3 linked regions of the Oreochromis niloticus genome follow. Each later gene encodes a partner of the first gene's protein in a complex. Links are inferred from orthologs where the notes say so. Each region holds a gene or a part of one and is shown in the gene's direction. Other genes may lie near its edges.

Region 1 (7,167 bases):
AGATCATAGAGAGATTTTACATTTAGATTTAGCTTTGAGTTCACGTTATTCATTTGCACCTGTAGGCAGACCTGATTACTCATGCATTCACATATGTACATTTTTCAAAACGACACAGAAAACAGATAAAGATAACACAACACAGGGAAAAAACAACCGTAAAATATCATGTAAGATTGTAAAAGGTACAATTCATCAGGTAGACACAAATAAGAAGGTAATATCTTGTGGAAGTTTGATAAAGCAGTTCATTGCTAACATTTCAGTGCAGCTATGTAGTGTAGTGGTTTACACATTCAACTGACAGGCAAAAGACCTACAGCCCCAGATCCCTTTAGGATGTCTCAGGAAGGGTATCTGGTGCAAAAAGTCTACCAAAAAAACATGTGGAGCTGCCCTCTGTAGCTTCCTACTACTGAGAGAAAGTTCTTCTGCCACCTGGTGGCCAAAAAGAAAAGAAATTCAGCTTTAACTTTACCAGGTGTGCTGTCGAATGATCGCTTTTGCTCAGGGAGGTTCCCAATATATATATATATATATATATATATATATATATATATATATATATATATATATATATATATATATATATATATATGTTCACATATTGCATCAGTGAGTCCACTGGTGTCTGATGTAAATTTCATCGTCAGACAGTGAGTGTGAGCCTCTGGGCAAACATCCAGGTGCCTTTACAATATACAAACTACGCAAGTGCCCTTCAGGCAGACTTCAAGGAAGTGTAACAAGAAGGAATACTCTGCTGTGTTTGCCCGTGTCCATGCCCACAACCTTGTATAAGCCCTGCTTAACCACAGCCATGAAAAATTAAACATGCTTCAGGGCTTCCTTTATTACGTCCTTCAGTAGAGGATAGTTTATGAAAAATGGAGATAATACCATCCCTCAGTTCAAAGTGATGCACCATCAGAACAGTCACAATTCTCATATGCACATTTTTCAAAACTAAATTCATTGTAATTACTGTTGAATTTTCCATCACAGCTTGCTAATATGTCAAAGTGCTCTAAAGGTATATCAGCTTTATCAACTTATAAAGTTGTTTCCTTGTTAGAAGCACTTTATGACAGGTTTAGAAAAATCCTTATCAAAGGCAAGAATTAGGGGATCAGGAAAGCTATTTCATTTCCCCTTGTGACTGGAAAAGGTAACGAGCTGCCTCCACTGTTCTCCTGGAGTTCCTTCTTTCTGGGTTTTGCATTTTCTCTGTTTTCTCTGGCAGTTCTACGTTTAACACCACTAAAAACATCCTTGGTCCTTGCATCTTCTGTGGCATAACTCTTATGCATTATTTAATAGCCTATTGTAATTTCAATCATGAAATAAACTGTTGTGCTCATAGAATCTTAGTTCTTATGAGTTCTTCGTCACATCTTACATCAAAATTGATGTGAATAAATGTTTATTTATAGTACATCCATCTACACTCTTTTATTCACTCTACTGTTTAGTAGCCTGGGGAGGAATCAGTAGAAATCACCTGGCTGCGCGCACATGAGGCCGGGGACAGTGAGCTTTTCTGTGGCAGATCAATGCCAAGCACTGAGGCCCGGGGTCGGTCAGACGCTCCAACGGCTCAAATATTTCATCCAGTGCCGGCTCTGCAAGCACAAAAAACATCTGTCTGAGTCTCTTGGAAATTAATGCTTAAGTGAATTATAGACTTTAACTTGCTAAATCTAAATCACCTAAACCACCAACGTGTGGGCTGAGCAGACAGACGTATTCAAGCTCAGGAATGGCGTTAAAGATGGACCTGCGAAACAAAGCGCATCAAGAAAAATGATAATTTTACACATACTGCATTCACCTTTCAGGACACCTGCATACTGTGCTTGCTTCTAATCAAAGTGCATTGTAGTATCTACCTTGCACTGATATATGAATCTTATCGAATGATACAAGAATTTTTAAAAAAGGGGTCTTTGTTTGTTCATACCTCATTATCTCTTTCACACTTGCTGTGGTGAAATCCGTCCGTGCCACAAAAAGGTGGAGGAAAAGTGTGTTGAGAGGCTGCAGAAAGACAACAGTTTAATCCACTGCAGGTGTGAGCTCACTTCATTTCATTTCATCTAAGCAGAGTATGGGCACTTGGCCACATTCATTCCAGGTGATGTTAATTGCCTCTACTTAACGAAAACCTTATGTTAAAATCAGTAAATGAAAGGTACAGACTGTGCATTGTCCAGCACTGAAGTGTTCCTGCAGGAAAGCTTCCCACTGCGTCTGATCCACCAGATCTCCAATAGGGTGATCAAAGAAGGAAGCGTGGCCTAGGATGTCGCCCTTTTCATTGGTCAGAGTCACAGCCAGGTTAGCTTTCTCTCTGAATGAACATGACAAGAAAGCTCAGTGATGGTCTCTGTAAGTGTTTGAAATTAACTGAGAGCACAGACGTCTACATCAATCACCACATAATTGTGATGAGAGTTGCATCCACCACACGTTTTCAGAGGCAACTTGGTCCTCTTAGATCCTCCAAAGGAAAACTGAAAGAAGCAGTTTGAAGCAGTTGCTATGACCGTCAGGTGGAAGTGGGAGAGCTGAGAGAAGAGCACCAGTTAAGGTGGTTAAAGCATGTGAATCCCTCCTAGTTGAGGTGTTTTGGGGATGTATAAGCCCCCATAACAGAGACCACACTGCCCTTAGAACTAGAGGTGGGGAAAAAATCAGCATACTATCTTATTGCTAAATTTTCTGTGGCAATATTGTTTTGATAGAGGGAACCAAATATTGATATTTTATTAAATAAATTAAAATATTCTTTGAATACTATGAACAACAGGCGTAAGCCCACACACCACCATTCTCTCATAATGTTACATTTCAACTGCGTAATAAAAATAGAAACAAAATCTAACACAAAGTTACCTCCTAATTCACAGCAAGCTAATTCCTCATCACAAAGCATATGATCTACAAAACATAACAAACAAACAAACCATCTACAAAACACACACACACACACACCCTCCAAAGGAAAAAAACAAAACAAAACTAGATGGCTGTCTTATGATTGAATTTTTTTCACAAATGATTGCCTGGAGCTCTTACAATCACTTTTGATCACCAGGCGATTGCACAGGTCGCCTGATGGGAGGCAACCTTCCTGCAAACAGTTGTAGTCTGACTTTGACTGACTGCAATCATTCTCAGAGAGATTTTCGAGAGCTAACTCCCATCCCCTCCAACACTATAATTCTCCTACAGTTCTCAGCATGAAAACTGATGTGAGCAAATAAACAAGAATAGATACTGTGAAAACAATATAACCATTACACTTAAGACAAGAATAAACCACCATACAGTCGGTGGAGAACAAAAGTAATATTATAGCATAGCTATATATTAAAGAGATGATAGAATTCTTGCGTTTTCATGGAAGTTTATAATTATTTTTGACGTTTTAGAGACTACATAATTCAAACAAATTATCTAACAGTGATTAAAACAACTTATCCAGCTTGTAGGTGTGTTTGTGTTCAGAGAGCATCTAGTTTACGGTCTAAACTCTGCCGCTGAGATGTTTAAGAAGAAAAACTTTTCTCACAGCAGATGAATAACATTGACTCTTCCAAACACCGCCTGCGCAGAGGGACTAATGAGGCCGTCGATCTCTTCAGCGTCCGCGGACTCGCTTCTCCTCACGGTCACCGTTACCTCCCGGGCGCTGTCTGAGGTTACAGTCCGCATCGTCACCCGTATTATATGGACAAATAGTACTAATAAAACTACAGCAGACGAAAGACTGCCTTTTTGTAATAAACTGTAATATCAGGCTGGTGGATAGAAGAAGGTGAAATTTAATATAAATTTATTTAACTGAATTCAGCTCACTGTTTTCACCTATGAAGAGCTCAAACCCAGTTGCCATAGTAACGTGACGCCAGAACTCCCGCGGTTTAACCGGAAGTCATGAAGCAACTGTTTAAAGCACTAAAATCAGTCTAGAAACGAGTTTTTAGTCTTCATCAAAACTTCCTCAGACTGGACAAATGGACTCAACTGAAGTCTGTTATAGTGAATATATTCTCTATATCGGACAACGTATATATAAATTATTCAAATGGCATTGGCGAACAAACGGTAGATGGCAGCAACACGTCTGCGTTTTGAAGAAAAAGAAAAAGAAGAAGAAGACGCGGGGCATTGTGGTTACTGTCACGGTGGCTGGCGCTCGGTGAGACGGAAACGTTTCGCTGCCTGTTTGCGCCGTTTGGTAGTTGTCGTGACAGTTTAAGTGAGGTTTTTAACGTTGTTTGTTGGTTAAACCGGCCATCAAAATGGCGTCTACGGCAGCAGGCAAACAGCGGATACCGAAGGTGGCGAAGGTAAGTGAACAGAGCAGTATCAGCGCTCCAGGCTAATGCTAACATAGAACTCGGGCTAACGGAGCAAAATTAAAATCTAATCTCATCTTTTCACTGCCAAAGTTACTCACAAAAACGTGCTACACTGTAGTACATTTAGGGCTATTTTACCTGATGAACAGGTAGCTCTGTGGTCTGAGTTTCACACAAGTTACATTAGCTGTAAACTTTCACCACGCTCTGCTTTGTTTTGGCTTCCATGTGTTTTACGTGTCCTTAATTTAGTCTTGTTTATATTAGGATTTAAAATCTGGTACATTTGAGTTTCTTTGTGTCTTTAAAGTTAGAAGTGTGTTTAAAAATGACTATTATAGTAATAGTATGTGAAGGAGGAGTGGACTGTGATTGTGTTTACAGGCGACAATGTGATCTGTATTGAGAGTAGGGAGCTTCTGGAGGTATATGGAAGCAAGACAGAATACATGTGTGTAAATGAGAGGGAGGCGGGTGTACCAGTGAAGCTGAAAGGAGTAGAGGAATTGATGGTGGATGAGTTTAAGTATCCGAAGTGAACCATCCAAAGCAACGGACAGTGTGCGAGAGTGGTAAAGAAGAGAGTGCAAGCAGGTGGAGACGAATGTCAGGGGTGATTTCTGACATGATAGAGGCAACTGAGAAAGCTTACAAGATGGTAGTGAGACCTGCAGTGATGCATGGTTTGGAGACTGAAACTTACAGGAGGCCGAGCTGAAGGTCAGGGACAGCTCTCACCAGTTGCTTTGGAGACAAAGTTAGAGGCAGAGATGGTTCCAACATGTGCAGAGGAGGGCTAATGGATATACTGGTCAAAGGATGTTGAAGGTGGACCTGGCAAGCAGGAGGAAAAGAGAAAGACCTCAAAAGATTGATGGATGCAGTGAAGAAGGACATACAGAGGGTTGGTATGACAGAGGATGATGCTGGCATAGGGTGAAGTGGGGATAAATTTTGGTGACTCCTAAAGGGGGGAATCAAAAGAAGAATAAGATGATGATCAGTCACCTCAAGGTGCTTTATATTGTAAGGTAACATAAGCGATTAAAAACTCCAACAATCAGGAGAACTTGGTGTCTCTGGGGAGGAAGAACTCTATTTTAACAGGAAGCAGGTTCAGGGAGAGGCTGTCTGCTGTGACCAGTTGAGGGGAAGAGAGGAAAGACTAATTTTGTGCTCACGCTAATTGTATTTTGTGCTGTGTTTTAGGTGAAGAATAAAGCTCCGGCAGAGGTTCAGATTACTGCAGAGCAGCTGCTAAGGGAAGCCAAAGAGAGAGAGCTCGAACTCCTGCCACCACCACCGAAACAGAAGATCACCGATCAGGAGGAGCTCAATGACTACAAACTGAGGAAGAGGAAGGTAAGCACTTCCATCATATTTTCTCTCCTGGTAGTGTTCACATTGCTCTTACTCATACTGCCATTTTTGCAAGAATTTTTTCCCCCACTTTATTTATGTTTAAAAAGCCAGCATAAAATATATTTGAGGTGTGATGCTCTCTGGCTTTACTTCTGCTCTAATAGTTATGTTTAGTTAAACAAATGTGTTTGTAGTTTTAATCTAACAGGAAAATTTGAGATGTTTCCAGCACACAAAAATATGTTTTTATAGTTTTTGGACATGATGAATGTCTTTTTCTTTCAGAGCTTTGAGGACAACATCAGGAAGAACCGGACTGTCATCAGTAACTGGATTAAATACGCACAATGGGAGGAAAGTCTGAAGGAGATCCAGAGGTACTGAAGCAAAAACAGCTGAAAGTCAGAATATTAAATGGCTACAACTTCGCACGGGGTCAATCACAAACAACTTAGTCTTGGTTGTACTGAAATAAGTAGAATCGGTCTTCACATCTTTTAACATTTTAGTAAATGTTTTAGAATTTTTTCTCATGCCCATGTGTCTGCACTGTCCACTTTTACCTCACCAACGGTTACCCTCGTTTCAGAGCTCGTTCCATTTACGAGCGGGCGCTAGATGTCGATCATCGCAACATCACTCTGTGGCTAAAGTACGCCGAGATGGAGATGAAAAGCCGCCAGGTGAACCACGCCCGCAACATCTGGGACAGAGCCATCACCATCCTCCCACGAGTCAACCAGTTCTGGTAGGACTTAAAAATCATTTAATCGCCATATTTATTTCTTGATTGTTTTGTCTGTAAAATATCAGCAGGCTTTGGCAAGTGGCACAAGTCACAATTTTCAGTCCTTTTCTGTAGTTAAAAATTGAATAAATGTATTTGTTGGCTGATACTTTATTGACACTTATCTAACAATAGAGTAGCTGAAATGTAACCTGATGTAAATGATGTGTTTTAAACTTTGAAAAGTGCATCGTGTGTGAGTGTGAGTCTGCTTGTGATTGTACAGTTCTTATGGAGAGTCTTTGCTGTGCATTTGTTGTCTGTTTTTCTTAAATCTTCTGTGTTTCTTCATTAAGTGTGTAATATTTTGAATGCTGTTCCTTTGCACAGGTACAAGTACACCTACATGGAGGAGATGCTGGGAAACATCGCCGGCTGCAGGCAGGTCTTTGAGCGATGGATGGAATGGGAGCCTGAAGAGCAGGCCTGGCACTCTTACATCAACTTTGAGCTGCGCTACAAGGAGGTGGAGAAAGCCCGCACCATTTATGAGCGATATATCCTTTTGTTGCTTTTACTAACATGCAGGGAACTATGTGTTTCCCCACAGTTAAATTCAAACAATATAATAAAACTTTAAAATAAAGAAACAAAAAGCACGATCAGGGTGATGGTCTGAGTCGTCCCACAGAGCTTGAGTTCATTATTGTC
Region 2 (7,085 bases), on another chromosome or scaffold:
AGGGAGGTTTAATCAGTGTTTGTACATCTGAGAACAGGACATCTTCTCAGATGCGTCTTGCAGAGCAGCTATGCATTAATAAGTTTCATTGTAGTGAAATGCAACAAAGAAGAAATACACAGAATATGTGTTTAGCAGCAGCCTTTAAGATGAGCCTCGGCTTTATTACGGCAATATTGATGATATGAAATTGAACATAAAGCTAACATTTTTACTGTGAAGGACTGTTGTTGTCTGCAAATTTTCACTCTAATACATTGAAAACTATAGAAGCCAGAACAGTTTGATTATGATTCATTTGATCCACTCAAAGTATTCAAACCTTTATACCCAGGAATCCCTCTTTCAGACCAGTGGTTGTCTGTGTATCCACTTTTATACAACTCTGTGATATAAAAACTTGTAAAGACTAGGTAAATTCCACAAATTGTCTGCTTTTTTTTTTTTTAATTAAGAATGGTAGCTTATGATCCTGGAAGATAGTCTCACCACTTGGCAACAACTGGGCTGGTTTAATTCCAGCCAGATACACAAAACCCCTTTGGGGTTGTGTTAGGGAGGCCATAAAAAGAGCATAAAACTCTGCCAGTCAAACATGTGGAGTCACCCACTGTGGCGATCCCTTGTGAGAAGGGAGCAGCTGAAAATGGCTGTTACTACGGTGAAGATCAGCTGTGTAAAGGTTCCTGGACCTTGGATAACCTTCGCAGTGCTTAGAGTTTGGGCTGTTCATTTCAAATCAACCCCATTTTCCAAAAACACGTTGGGATTAGCTCGCATGCTCAAAGTGGGGCTAAGCTTATCTTTGCCTCAGGGTTTGTTTTGTTTTTTTGTTTTTTTTTGTTCTTTTGAGAAATTAGGCCGTCTGCTCAACTGTGGTACATTCTGGCCAGAACACTGCCTGACAAATTGTTTGCTACTTGTCTAGTTTTTGTTATGTTTTCTGCTGTATTTTCTTACAAATTTGGCAATAATTATTCATCGATTGTGGTGTCTGATTTTGTCGTGTTGTCAGTCTTGTGTGTCAAACCTGAGTGTTAGCAGCACTACTTAGAGCACTGGGTGGAAGTTTATTTCTTTGCTCGAGAGATAAAATGCAGTCCCAGGGTCTGCATGAGATTGTAGTGTGTAACATTGTTTGTTTACATGCTGTTTCCCAATATTTTTATCATGGAAGAAAGATTGCAGTAAACTATACAGTGAGCAAACTTGGCTTTCATGGATAACTTTACCCAAAACAATGCCTTTCATAATGGCCCTGCTTTTTAGCTTGCATGAGCTCGGGTCGTATTTTCTAACTATGCAAACAGATGGACTGACGGCAGCCCTTCAGTGTGTCTGCGATGCTCAATAAGTGCGCTTTGGTGAATGAACTTAAATCAACATGAATTTTTTGTTTTGTTTTTCTAAAGTATTTTCAACTACTGTTTTCAAAATGCGACTGTGAACATGTAGAAGATATGTTTCTAGGTTTCGAAGTTTCTACTTTGCTGAGGTCTTTTGTAAATTGGTGTGTATGGCTCTTTGCAGATGACAAATAAAATTTAACAGTTGTCAGATGTTTTCTTTGCATCACTGCTGCTGTTCTGATTCTGTGAAATTTTAGTGATTTAATTGAAGTTTTTCATACTGTGGATCTGAGAAGTTTGTTCCAGAGCAGCTAAACCGCAGTTTCAAACTGACTGCGTGCTCTACCGCAGCTATACAGCAGAGTTAATGGGTAACTGTTGAAATTAGCAAGAGGAAATGTATGTACATTTATTTTTAATGACTTTTAGCTAGTTTCTAGGTTCAGATAATATAAATTATTATTGAAGTTGCAGGTCGCAGCTAAAAGCTCTTCCATTTGTATTCTGAACATAGTCAACAGTGTAACAACTAATGGCCATGAATCTTACACATTTCTCTTAAAGCAGGAACAATAAAATAGTGTTATAAAATGCAATAATGTACACTGGATTCATTATTAAAACAATAAATTACACTAATATGATTTTCCTCAAATTATTAAATGTGCAGTAAATATACTGTTTATTCGGTTGTTAGCTTTGACAATGAATTCATATTAATTATTGGCATAACTAACTATTAATTTTAAAGTTACAAAAACTTTTTCACACAAAGCTGGTGTAGTTTTTTTCAAACAAAAACTACACCAGCAGCTGAACCTCAAATAATAGCCAAACACATAGTTAGATCTTTGGTATGGATAGTGGATATCCCATTGTGTTTGTCAACAAATAATAGTTCTCATTGGGCCCACCTGGGGCCCGTTCTTCGTACCTCGCTTACTACATCCAAGATCAAATGACACATCCAAGATCAAATCATCGCGCTAACCTTGAGCTCGCTAATCCGGTTCTCCGAACACACCTGTTGTTGACGATCAGTATAGCTGGATGAAGTAATGCGAGATCACTGGGTGTCTCAAAAGGGGCTACGCATCGATAGTAGAAACATTGATCGGCAACCCTTTGATTGGTCGGCGAAGATGTCGAAGGCGCGCGCTCAGTATTTTACGGCAGCAGAGCAAGAACTCTTGATTGAGGGATATCAGGAGTTTCAGAGTTTAATTAAAACGCAAGGGAACACCGCAAAGGCTGCAAAAGCAAGGAGAGAGGGCTGGCAGAAAGTTGCTGACAAATTAAACTCGTAAATAATTTATTATATCATATTACATTATATCCTCTTTCACATTAGAGCCACAACAGGACCCACTAGAACATGGGGACAAGTAAAAGTGAAATATAAGAATATTCTACAGAATGGTAATAGTTATCACTTATATTGCTTTTAGTCTCTTGAAAAGAGACCCTGAAATAATCTGTTTGTTTGTTTATAACAGCAACCAAGAAAAGGGCAGAGCAAATAAAGACAGGTGGTGGTCCTGCACCCCCTCGTGTGTGTGTGTGTGTGTGTGTGTGTGTGTGTGTGTATATATATATATACACATATATATATATATATATATATATATACACATATATGTATACATATGTATACATATATATATATATATATATATATATATATACATATACATATACATATATGTATACATATATGTATACATATGTATATAGGGAGAGAGAGAGAGAGAGAGAGAGGAAGGACAGGACGGATCCTGTCAATCCCGCAATATACGCTGAATTCTGGAAACTCTCCTTATCAATCTTGCACCTTCCGCAATGGGTTGCTCGCGTACAAACAGACAGGACATGGCTGCGACAGACTTCCCAAATCCACCTTCGCTTTTATAGCCGTGGTCTCTCATCTTGATTACACGAAGTAATTTACTATTACTACTCTAAAATACGAATTACATCTGAAATAATCAAATACGTGTAATAGAATGATTACTAGTACATTTCCCTTTTTCTTAGGAAATGACCTGTATGTATCTGTATGCAATCAGTAAAAGAATCAACTACTGCATTATCTTTAGTTACATTGATAATATTTATTTATGGAGAAACAGTGGTGAAATATCGCTGTTGCTTTCGTGTACATGCAGCGGACATACCTGAGTGGCCGCGATCTAATCCTGTTTACATAAAGTAAACCTGCTCCCGAGCAGGTTTACGCTTACGGATCTGTTGCTATGACAGCAAGTCCCAGATGAGCTTCGGAGAACCGAACGATCCAAGATCACGCGAAATCGTCAACAATCAAATCCGGCTAACTTACTTAGCGAGGTACGAAGAACGGTCCCCTGGTCTTATAGCAAAAAAACCAAAACAACTGCTCATCCACTGGATTTTCCTCACCCACCCATAAACGAGGTTTTACAAAGAATGGTCTAAAAAAGAGAAAACATCCAGTAAGTGAAAAAAAAAAATTCTCTGGGTGAAAATGCTTTGTTGTCGTGCTTCATCAGGCCAGACTGTAACAGTAACTCAAATTACCACTTGTTACAACCAAGGTATGCAGAACAGCATCTCTGAATACACAACATATTTGCATTTAAATAAATGATTTGAATATTTCTTCCACTAATATATATAATTCAAAGCTAGCCGGCTCTCCTTCCTCCTGTTCTCATGGCGGCGCTGTGAGGAAAAAGCAGAAGGTCCAGTATGAGAGTTCACCAATGAAGTTCCGGTTGTCGGCGCACGCTTTCCTTCCGCGGTTTCGTGAAACGAAAAGAGTGCGAACGAGTTCTTCGACTTTCAGAAAATACAGATAAAATGAGCAAAGCACACCCACCCGAGCTGAAGAAGTAAGTCAGTGATCTTTGATAAATAAACGCGCACTGGTTATTTTGTACCTGTTTCTTGTTTCCCGCATAGCAGCTCTGGTACATTGTTTGTAATAGCCACAAGCTAACATTAGCTAGGCTGCCAGACCGACTTGTGAAGAAACTGTGACCATGTAACCGATGCTGATGGTTTTCTTTTCCAGGTTCATGGACAAGAAGCTTTCATGTGAGTATGACTCCAAGCACAGATTCAAAAGCACCCAGAATGTTAAGAGTGAATCTGTTCCTGTGTTTCGTTGTTTTTAAGCAACAGCATGAAATATCAAAACATAGTTATTGAATAATTTCAGTAATTACCTTTCAGTTTTCACCTGGTACACAAAGCCTTCTTCGATGACCTCTGCTCACTGTTTGTACAGGATCTCATAACAAAGGGTAGACATGTAGTGCAGGCAGCACACATGGGGGGACATTTATTTTAATACGCGCAGCGTGTTGTGTTGCTGGGAAGTACTGCTAGAAATGCAGATGTTGATATATTGTATAACTTGCACAGGTCTTATCATCCCTACTGACTTTCATTGACAGTATACTATAATTGTGAGATGTCTTTATGGTCTTTAAAAGTTTGAAATTAAGCTTGTTGTAACCCTCGGTTACAACACTGGGTAAGTCAAGTACCTTTCACAGATGTGGACTCAAAAGTTAGGTTATGTGATAGCATAAATATATGGATGTCTTACTTTGCTGTATGTAAATATTCGTGGTAGTATGTGGGCAATCTAAACTTTGAGTTTGAAGATGGATCAGTCCCAAAAATAAATAAACTGAGCAGTTTGTGAAATTCTTCATATTGATTTCTTTTCTCTCCTTTCAGTAAAGTTGAATGGAGGCAGACACGTACAGGGCATCCTGCGTGGGTTCGACCCTTTTATGAACCTGGTGGTGGATGACTGTCTGGAGATGGGCCCTGGAGGACAGCAGAACACCATTGGCATGGTGGTCAGTAAATTTGTCTTTCTTAATTTTTGGTATTGTCACCAAAGAAAATTTGTGCGCCTAATATAAGCACAGCAATTTTTATCTTCCAGCAGTCTGCTCTCCTCTCAACTACAGCCCGTATATTTACCAGAGAGTTCTGGTTATGATGGTGTCAGACTTCATATTTGCCACAGTCTAAACACACAGTAAAGAGCTCTCATTAACAGCCCAATCTTTCCTGGTAGGGGGCGATCATAGCTCAAGAGTTGGCAGTTCGTCTTGTAATCGGAAGGTTGCCGGTTCGAGCCCCGGCTCCGGCAGTCTCGGTCATTGTGTCCTTGGGCAAGACACTTCACCCGTTGCCTACTGGTGGTGGTCAGAGGGCCTGGTGGCGCCAGTGTCCAGCAGCCTCGCCTCTGTCAGTGCGCCCCAGGGCAGCTGTGGCTACAATGTAGCTTGCCATCACCAGTGTGTGAATGGGTGGATGACTGAATGTAGTGTAAAGCGCTTTGGGGTCCATAGGGACTAAGTAAAGCGCTATACAAATACAGGCCATTTATATTAATAAAATTTATATTTTGCACATGAAACCTTTGCATTTTTGTCACACTCTGTTTCAGCAAAAAAAAAAAAAAAAGCAAAAAAAGAAATCTGCACAATCGTCACAAAATAAAATAAATATTTTGTGCCTGATTAAAGCTCTGCTTTTCCATCATGTTAGTAATTTCCATCCACCATTTGCAAAGAGAATTGGTGGAGTCATTTCTGTACATTTTGGTTGCATATCATGTGCTATTAGTATTTCGTCCTTTGTAACATTAACCATGACCTGAACAGCGTCAGATTGTTATGCTTGTTTTATACTTGAGCAGTAGTAGCATGAACGCAGTTCCTGGGCAATCACAGTCTGCCTGCAGAGAGTGTTTGTTGTTGATGGAGTGTAACAAATATGTATTACAACCTGTGTGTGGGCCACACTTGCATGTGCTGTTGTTGTTCCAAGTATAAAGTTCTCAATTGTTCTCAAGTTGAAGTGAACAGTGTTTTCAAAAACAACGAAAAGTGTCCACTGCAGTCACACTCTGTACTTTTCATGCTGTATTTTTTTCCCTTTCATATTTGTGTCATACCATTTCCCGCTGAACTCCACAATCGCGCCCTCCCCTGTTCTGGCCCACTTGTCAACCAATGAGCTATTGACCGACACATGTGTCATCAACATCCAGTGACATGCTGTTGGGGCTGTTTGGTGGACTGCACGATAGCACACTTGTGGAATTGTGTACACAGACCATACATTATTTATTAGTTATACCTGCATCTGCTGCTGTTTGCTCCACGAAATCATTTTCATTTATTTCAAAATCATTCTGTGTTTGAAGCAGGAATTATACCGTCACCGAGTCCAGTAGGGTCCACTCAGGTCCCACTGATATAAATTTCATCATGAGATGGTTAGGGCAGTTTGTGCCTGCCTGCTTTTTGTAATGTTTACTTACTTTATAATGCACTAAGTAAACATTCTCCCCAGCCCATGAACTACAAACAACAGGAATGAGTGCTCAGCTGTTCAGTATAATTTAGGTTTAAAATGTCAAGAAAAGCGGTTTGCTTTACCTTCTATAAACAAGATACTAAATTCTGTTTAGATTTGGAGAGCTCAGTGCTTTATTTAAAACCTTTAGGACATTTGTCATGATGGCAGTGTGTTTACTCTGTGTGGTATTGTTTCTCACAGGTCATCAGGGGAAACAGCATCATCATGCTCGAGGCCTTGGAGAGAGTATGAGAGTGGAGGAGGCACCTGAAGAAAATGATCCCTACATTTTGTTTTTTTGTTTTGTTTTTTTACATTATTGTCCCTTTCTTGTTCCTCAGTAAAGAGACAAAGCATTTGTATTTGAAT
Region 3 (6,844 bases), on another chromosome or scaffold:
TTCAAAAGTCCCCCTAACCTAAAAAGAAGGAGCATTCTTCTTACTTACTATTTAGAATAGCCATCTCTTATTATTTTTCTCTGTTGTTATTCTTTTTTTGTCCATTCTTTTCTCTGTAGATACAGCACGTCTCATTAAAATAGGATTGGTCTGTTAGGTATGACACTGAAACACCGAGCAAAGATCAGTCAGATTTCTGTGGCTGGTACTCGTGACCCACATCATACCAGATCAACTGTACACACTTTTAACCGGGACTTTGATGCCAACACATTAAAGGAATTGTTGGGAGTAGAAATGTTAATCTCTGCGTGTGCTGACTGTATGTTAAACATGTATGATGTTGCAGTAAGAAAAAAAAAAGAGGGCAGACTTTATATATGCAGTAAATGCACACAAACACACTTAGGGTAAATAATAGCTTGGCCTGGTGAACTAATCAAGCACTAATGTCACAAACTCAGCTGTGGGAATGGCTGCATCTCAACAACCGCGACAGAGCCTGGATCCCGGATCGTGCAACACGATGCCCTGCCTGCACTAATGCACAGCCAGAGGGACGGTGCTGATTCAGGCTCTCTCCTCATTATCCGATCAGCGAGCAGCCTGTGAATCAGCTCTGACCTGAACAACATGTAAAGATCCAAAACACCATGAGCGGGGAGATCGGGCAGCAACTCGGACACGCCAAGAAGAAACTGCCCTCGAAGTGAACCTAATCAATGTCATGTTGTTCATTAGAAAATGGAGAAAAGTTGTTGTAGTCAGCATTACTGGTGGAAAGCTGTTTGAGATTTATTTCTGTCTTGTCCAGTTTGTTTGTCTTTAAAACGCTTAAATGATTAAATCTGTCTTAGCACAGCCAGGAGAAACTGAAAACAAAGGTGTTTTTGTGTCCCTGCTAATCCTTGTCTGTGTCCACTGTGAGAAGTTTTCTTTCTTTGCAGGCATGCTCTCTGTGATGTTGTGTGTTTTTGCCTCACTGTACATGCCACTAAAACGCAGGCAGGACCTTGGATATAAAGGTACTGGAATAAAAATGCTTGACTGTGAATCCATGTTGGAGTCCCTTTCTGTTTTGATTGGTGGTTTCTAGCACTACGGTGCAATAAATTACAAGAAATACAGCAGAGCTTAGACGCTGGATGCCACTTTTGTGAACGCTTTTTATGATTATAGTCAATTTGCAATTCAAGATGAGGAGTAGTACTATAATAAATTTTATGAGAACACAACAACATGATCAAAGCAGCATTTTCCTGCCAGTCTGTGGATATCACATAATTATCAAATACTCTAAAGTAGGATAAGGTCACTATAACCTAGTTATGTCAGACAAAGGAAAATAATCAGCAGCATTTTTTACAAAATGGGTAGTTCAAGTTATTTTAAGGCAAAAAAACCACCTGAGATGTGGATATTTGTGGCATTTTTCTAGATGTATACAGTATTAGGTTTTCTATCTTTGGGATGTGATGATTATTTGTGCAAAAGACGTTTGAGAAAAAAGCACCTAGGCCTCTGAGAACTTGTGATAACACGGTCGAAAAGTTAATTAGCCTTCAGTGAAATGAGCAGAGTCCCTTTTACATCAGGGATGCCTAATTTGAAAGGTTACAAAATTAATGCAAGGAGGTCATGAAGTGCTGAGAAAAGAGAAAAGAAAAAAAAGATTTCTGGGCTATTTTTAATAGTCTTTCTATATTTATTGTTTCTATATGAATATAAACATTGGTCTCATGTGGAAGCATGCAAATTAGAGCCTCTGGTCAAAAAGGATGGAAGCTGTTAAAGCTCTAAATATCACACGTGATGTAATAATGTGCAGACTGGAACCAGGAGGGTGTTACATTATTGTATAAAACTGGACTTACTGTGCAGCTGAAGAGCTCTCGTTGTGTGAGCTGTCAGCTCACACATTTACAGTGCTAACCTCACTGCAGAAGACAGTGATTTATTAGAGCCAATCAGTCAGAGGCCATCTCTGTAGTGCGTGGATGGTGGATGGAGAAGGATGGAGGGCCCCTGATGTGGGGAGGAGTCCTTGCACTGCCCCAAATGCCCTTGTCCAATTCAGGCACTGAAGCTCACCATGATGGAGGAGGAGACCTGCTGCTGACTGGCTTATCTTCCCTTCATCCCTATTCTGCAATTGATTTTGCAACACTCATCACTTGAATCACTTGAAGCTGCATTTCCTGCTATAGAAACAAACACGCAGGGGACTGTACTTTTAAACGACAGACAGAATTAATAGATTTACATCATAGCAAAAAAAGAAAGAAAAAGAAGCCCCGCAAGCAGTAAACGAGCATTTAAAAACAAACACTGGATAATTGAGTGGTTTCTTTAAGTCTACTGTCTCTATCAAACTGGGTGTGATGACAGAAGGTACGTGAAGGTGAACACGCACCTGCCCCCTCCTTAACCCTCGCCTTTCTAGAAATGTGGCCCTTTTTTCTGTAATATTTTCCATTTATATTGCTGCCATTGTTTCACTTTGGGAATGAGCGCAGGGGTGGGCTTCTTGGATGGAAAAAAAACAAACCTTGATCATGATCATACTGGTGAAAATATAACCCGAACAGCTTGCAAGGACAGGCTCCTTCTGATAAATACGGCACGTCGATGGTGTCGTGATGTATACCTGCAGACCGTGATGAGGTTTTTTCGCTCCACGCAGACGCTCCGAGCAGACGCCTTTTTCGATGTCAGACCCATAGCCATTGCTGTCTGAATACAGCCCGACTCCATCCAGCGGCGGCCCCGGGCCTCTTCGGGATTCGTGCCCAGGCCAGGACCTCTCCCTCCGTGGGCCCTGAGTCCTACAAACACCCGCCGTCCTCTGCGGGGAGTCACGGATGCTGCTACAGTCGCTGCTGGAAGAGGAGGAGGACGGGATCTAAGCGACTAGAACCAAGTTACACGTATTTATCACTGCAACTTCCGGTTAAAACTTTCAAAATAAAACTATCTTCCAGTTTTCATCACAGATTCATTCATACTAGAATTTCCAGTCTTCCGGTGTCAGGCAAAAAAAAAGTGATTGCTGATGTTTTTATGTGTTTGTATGTGTTATATCTTGGCTTACATTGGTAGATAGGCTGGGGTCAACAGAATTTTCAAAGGGCTAAATATGAAATAAAGAAATTACCTTTTTTGCAAGTATCTCGACTCAGCGTTATTGTAGCTACTCTGTGTCCTGCATTATAATCAATCCAGTCCTTTTTTGCTGCTTAAAATATCTTTTGTAGAACCGTTCTTTTACATTTGTCTGAATTTCTAAAGCCCTCTTTGACCAAACATGTTTATAAAAAGATATTTTTTAACACCAATTAGACTTTTTAATATCAATTAGACTTTTTACCTGGAAAAATAAAGGAAGTCACTATCTAAGAGTAACTTAGCCAATTACTGCCTGCAGCTTCTACCTTGTGTCTGGTCAGATACTTTTGCAATATGTTTGATAGATTATAGACCAACAAGTCATTTAAAACAGTTTAAATAATTAAAACTTTTTGACAAGTATCTAAATTCCCCTTTTGGCAGACGAATGTGTTTTGGCACAGCTCTAAAAACTTTACAGCACTTCATAGAGTTATAACGATTTCCAAGACATAACTTAAATTCTCATGAATTATTTTTAAATATGAAATAAGTAAATATCATTGAGCAACTTTTGATTAACTGGCTCGCAAAAATTGCAGCCACTTTCTCACTGAAGTATCACTGCTGCCTTTTTAAATCTAACTTCACAATGCCTAAGTAGGTGTGATTCTCCTTTTGACCAGTACAGGGACTAACTTAAGATGACTCCTAGACACTAGAGGGTGCTGTGGCGAAAGCAGATATTTACAAAACAGAGTCAAGATGGCGGAATCAGAGAAGCCTCGGGAGGGATCTTGTACTTTTCTGTTTAAAAAATCTAATAGGAAATTCTCTGGGCGAAAGAGAAAAGCAACCGATAGCGAGAAAGGTTTGTTATTTAACTCACTTTCTGATCATTTAAAGCCCAGTGAACTTCCGGTGTCGACAGCGCTCGAGCTTTTTAATGATCGACTACTTGTTTCTGTTCTCGTAGTCCTTTACAGATAACCACTGTGTTATTAACACGGTAAGAGGCAAAAATACTACATCTGATTCCAAAAATCGGAGAAACGATGTAAAGGAAGTACCGCAGATGATACATTTTTGTTCCTGTTATAAACAAATTTCACATTCGTGCCGCGTTTACGTTTCCTCGGAATTTGGAACGCTATATGCGCCTGCTGTTTCTTGTCCTCCCAGTTAACTCCGAGATTATTCTAAGATTTTGCAATTCTGCTGTCAGTTATTAGACAAGTTACTAGATTTTTTTTCACCAAATGTATCTCACTCATGTCCTTTTCAGATGAAAACAGTGATGAGGACCAGACCCTCGTAGTGAGAAAAGAAAAGAAAAAAACTCGCATCAACCCGATGATTCAGAGGGTAATTATGGGTTGTTGTTTTTTTAAATTTTTTAAATTTTTGTATATTTATATTTTTTAACATGTGTTTGTCGAAAATTGCGTTTTTCTGTCTTAATCACTGTGTACCTCAACGTGCACTGGAAATGGCAAGTATGTATCCAGAATCAGCTGGCATAGTCAGATTTGCAAAAGTCTAAATCTGCATTTAGATTCACAAGAGTACTAAAGTATTTAAAAGTGTGTTATGTTAATGCATATATAGATTTTTTTTTTTTTTTTTTACATTTAGAATATGGACAAAGGGTTTTATACACTTGCAAACCTGATATTTTTGAAAAAGTTTATAAATCTAATCATGCAAACACACATTTGCAGACAAGACTGCTATGACAGTAGCCTCAAATGAGACAGAGGTGACTGTTTTTGTCCATCCATCCATCCATCCATCTTCATCCGCTTTATCCGAGGCCGGGTCGCGGGGGCAGCAGCCTAAGCAGAGAAGTCCAGACCTCCCTCTCCCCAGCCACCTCCTCCAGCTTATCCGGGGGAACACCAAGGCGTTCCCAGGCCAGCCGAGAGATATAATCTCTCCAGCGTGTCCTGGGTCTGCCCCGGGGCCTCCTCCCGGTGGGACATGCCCGGAACACCTCACCCAGGAGGCCCCCCAGAAGGCATCCCTATCAGATGCCCGAACCACCTCAACTGGCTCCTTTCGATGTGGAGGAGCAGCAGCTCTACTCTGAGCCCCTCCCGGATGGCCGAACTTCTCACCCTATCTCTAAGGGAGAGGCCAGCCACCCTTCGGAGGAAGCTCATTTCTGCCGCTTGTATCCGCGATCTCGTTCTTTCGGTCACTACCCACAGCTCGTGGCCATAGGTGAGGGTAGGGACGTAGATCGACCGGTAAATTGAGAGCTTCGCTTTTACACTCAGCTCCCTCTTCACCACGATGGACCGGTGCAGCGTCCGCATCACTGCAGCCGCAGCACCAATCCGTCTGTCGATCTCCGGCTCCCTTCTCCCATCACTCGCGAACAAGACCCCGAGATACTTGAACTCCTCCACTTGGGGCAGGAACTCATCCCCGACCCGGAGTGGGCACTCCACCCTTTTCCGGCTGAGAACCATGGCCTCAGATTTGGAGGTGCTGATCCTCATTCCCGCTGCTTCACACTCGGCGGCGAACCGTTCCAGTGCGAGCTGAAGGCCTTCACCTGATGAAGCCAACAGAACCACATCATCCGCAAAAAGCAGAGATGAGATTCTGAGGCCACCGAAGCGAAAGCCCTCCGCCACTTGGCTGCGCCTAGAAATCCTGTCCATAAAAATTATGAACAGAACCGGTGACAAAGGGCAGCCCTGGCGGAGCCCATCACCCACCGGGAACGAGTCCGACTTATTGCCGGCAATGCGAACCAAACTCTTGCAACGGTTGTATAGGGATCGAATGGCCCGTAGCAATGGGCCAGACACCCCATACTCCCGCAACACCTCCCACAGGACACCCCGAGGGACACGGTCGAATGCCTTCTCCAAGTCCACAAAACACATGTAGACTGGTTGGGCAAACTCCCATGCACCCTCAAGTATCCTTGAGAGGATAAAGAGCTGGTCCAGTGTTCCGCGACCAGGACGAAAACCGCATTGTTCCTCCTGTATCCGAGGTTCGACTAGCGGACGAACTCTCCTTTCCAGCACCCTGGCATAGACTTTCCCAGGGAGGCTGAGGAGTGTGATCCCCCTGTAGTTGGAACACACCCTCCGGTCTCCCTTCTTAAAGATGGGGACCACCACCCCGGTCTGCCAATCCAGGGGTACTGCCCCTGATCTCCACGCAACATTGTAGAGGCGTGTCAACCAGGACAGCCCTACAACGTCCAGAGCCTTCAGGAACTCGGGGCGGACCTCATCAACACCAGGGGCTCTGCCACCAAGGAGTTGTTTAACTGCCTCAGTGACCTCGCCCCCGGAAATTGGCGGGTCATTCCCCTCATCCCCAGACTCTGCTTCCTCCTCGGAAGACATGTCAGTGGGATTAAGGAGGTCCTCGAAGTATTCCTTCCACCGCCTGACAATTTTCTCAGTCGATGTCAGCAGCGCTCCGCCAGCACTATACACAGTGCAGGTAGAGCACCGCTTTCCCCTCCTGAGACGCCTGACGGTTTGCCAGAATCTCTTCGAGGCAGTCCGAAAGTCTTTTTCCATGGCCTCTCCGAACTCCTCCCACACCCGAGTTTTTGCTTCAGCCACTGCCCGAGCCGCATTCCGCTTGGCCTATCGATACCTGTCGGCTGCCTCCGGAGTCCCACAGGCTAACCAAGCCTGATAGGACTCCTTCTTCAGCCTGGTGGCTCCCTTCACCTCTGGTGTCCACCATTTGGTTCGGGGATTAC

The links. The genes of interacting proteins can lie anywhere in the genome.
Region 2: crnkl1 (region 1) and snrpg share a complex: the UniProt entries of both Homo sapiens proteins name them as parts of the minor spliceosome. The link is inferred for Oreochromis niloticus from reciprocal best matches to the Homo sapiens genes CRNKL1 and SNRPG.
Region 3: crnkl1 (region 1) and rnf113a share a complex: the UniProt entries of both Homo sapiens proteins name them as parts of the minor spliceosome. The link is inferred for Oreochromis niloticus from reciprocal best matches to the Homo sapiens genes CRNKL1 and RNF113A.

The regions. Positions count from the first base shown.
Region 1 is NC_031980.2:23,432,506-23,439,672, forward strand, and holds the start of crnkl1 (crooked neck-like protein 1), read left to right. Parts: upstream 1-4,163; 5' UTR 4,164-4,307; coding exon 4,308-4,355; intron 4,356-5,576; coding exon 5,577-5,729; intron 5,730-6,014; coding exon 6,015-6,106; intron 6,107-6,318; coding exon 6,319-6,477; intron 6,478-6,846; coding exon 6,847-7,013; intron 7,014-7,167. Other genes in the region: cfap61 (cilia- and flagella-associated protein 61), read right to left, coding at 1,502-1,622, 1,710-1,777, 1,961-2,037, 2,200-2,350, 3,575-3,717. UniProt on the Homo sapiens protein: Involved in pre-mRNA splicing process. As a component of the minor spliceosome, involved in the splicing of U12-type introns in pre-mRNAs.
Region 2 is NC_031984.2:33,153,312-33,160,396, forward strand, and holds the start of snrpg (small nuclear ribonucleoprotein G), read left to right. Parts: upstream 1-4,059; 5' UTR 4,060-4,187; coding exon 4,188-4,219; intron 4,220-4,401; coding exon 4,402-4,424; intron 4,425-5,075; coding exon 5,076-5,200; intron 5,201-6,917; coding exon 6,918-6,968; 3' UTR 6,969-7,085. UniProt on the Homo sapiens protein: Plays a role in pre-mRNA splicing as a core component of the spliceosomal U1, U2, U4 and U5 small nuclear ribonucleoproteins (snRNPs), the building blocks of the spliceosome.
Region 3 is NC_031969.2:28,812,706-28,819,549, forward strand, and holds the start of rnf113a (E3 ubiquitin-protein ligase RNF113A), read left to right. Parts: upstream 1-3,818; 5' UTR 3,819-3,870; coding exon 3,871-3,976; intron 3,977-4,390; coding exon 4,391-4,470; intron 4,471-6,844. Other genes in the region: rundc3aa (RUN domain-containing protein 3A), read right to left, coding at 2,648-2,754. UniProt on the Homo sapiens protein: Required for pre-mRNA splicing as component of the spliceosome. As a component of the minor spliceosome, involved in the splicing of U12-type introns in pre-mRNAs. E3 ubiquitin-protein ligase that catalyzes the transfer of ubiquitin onto target proteins.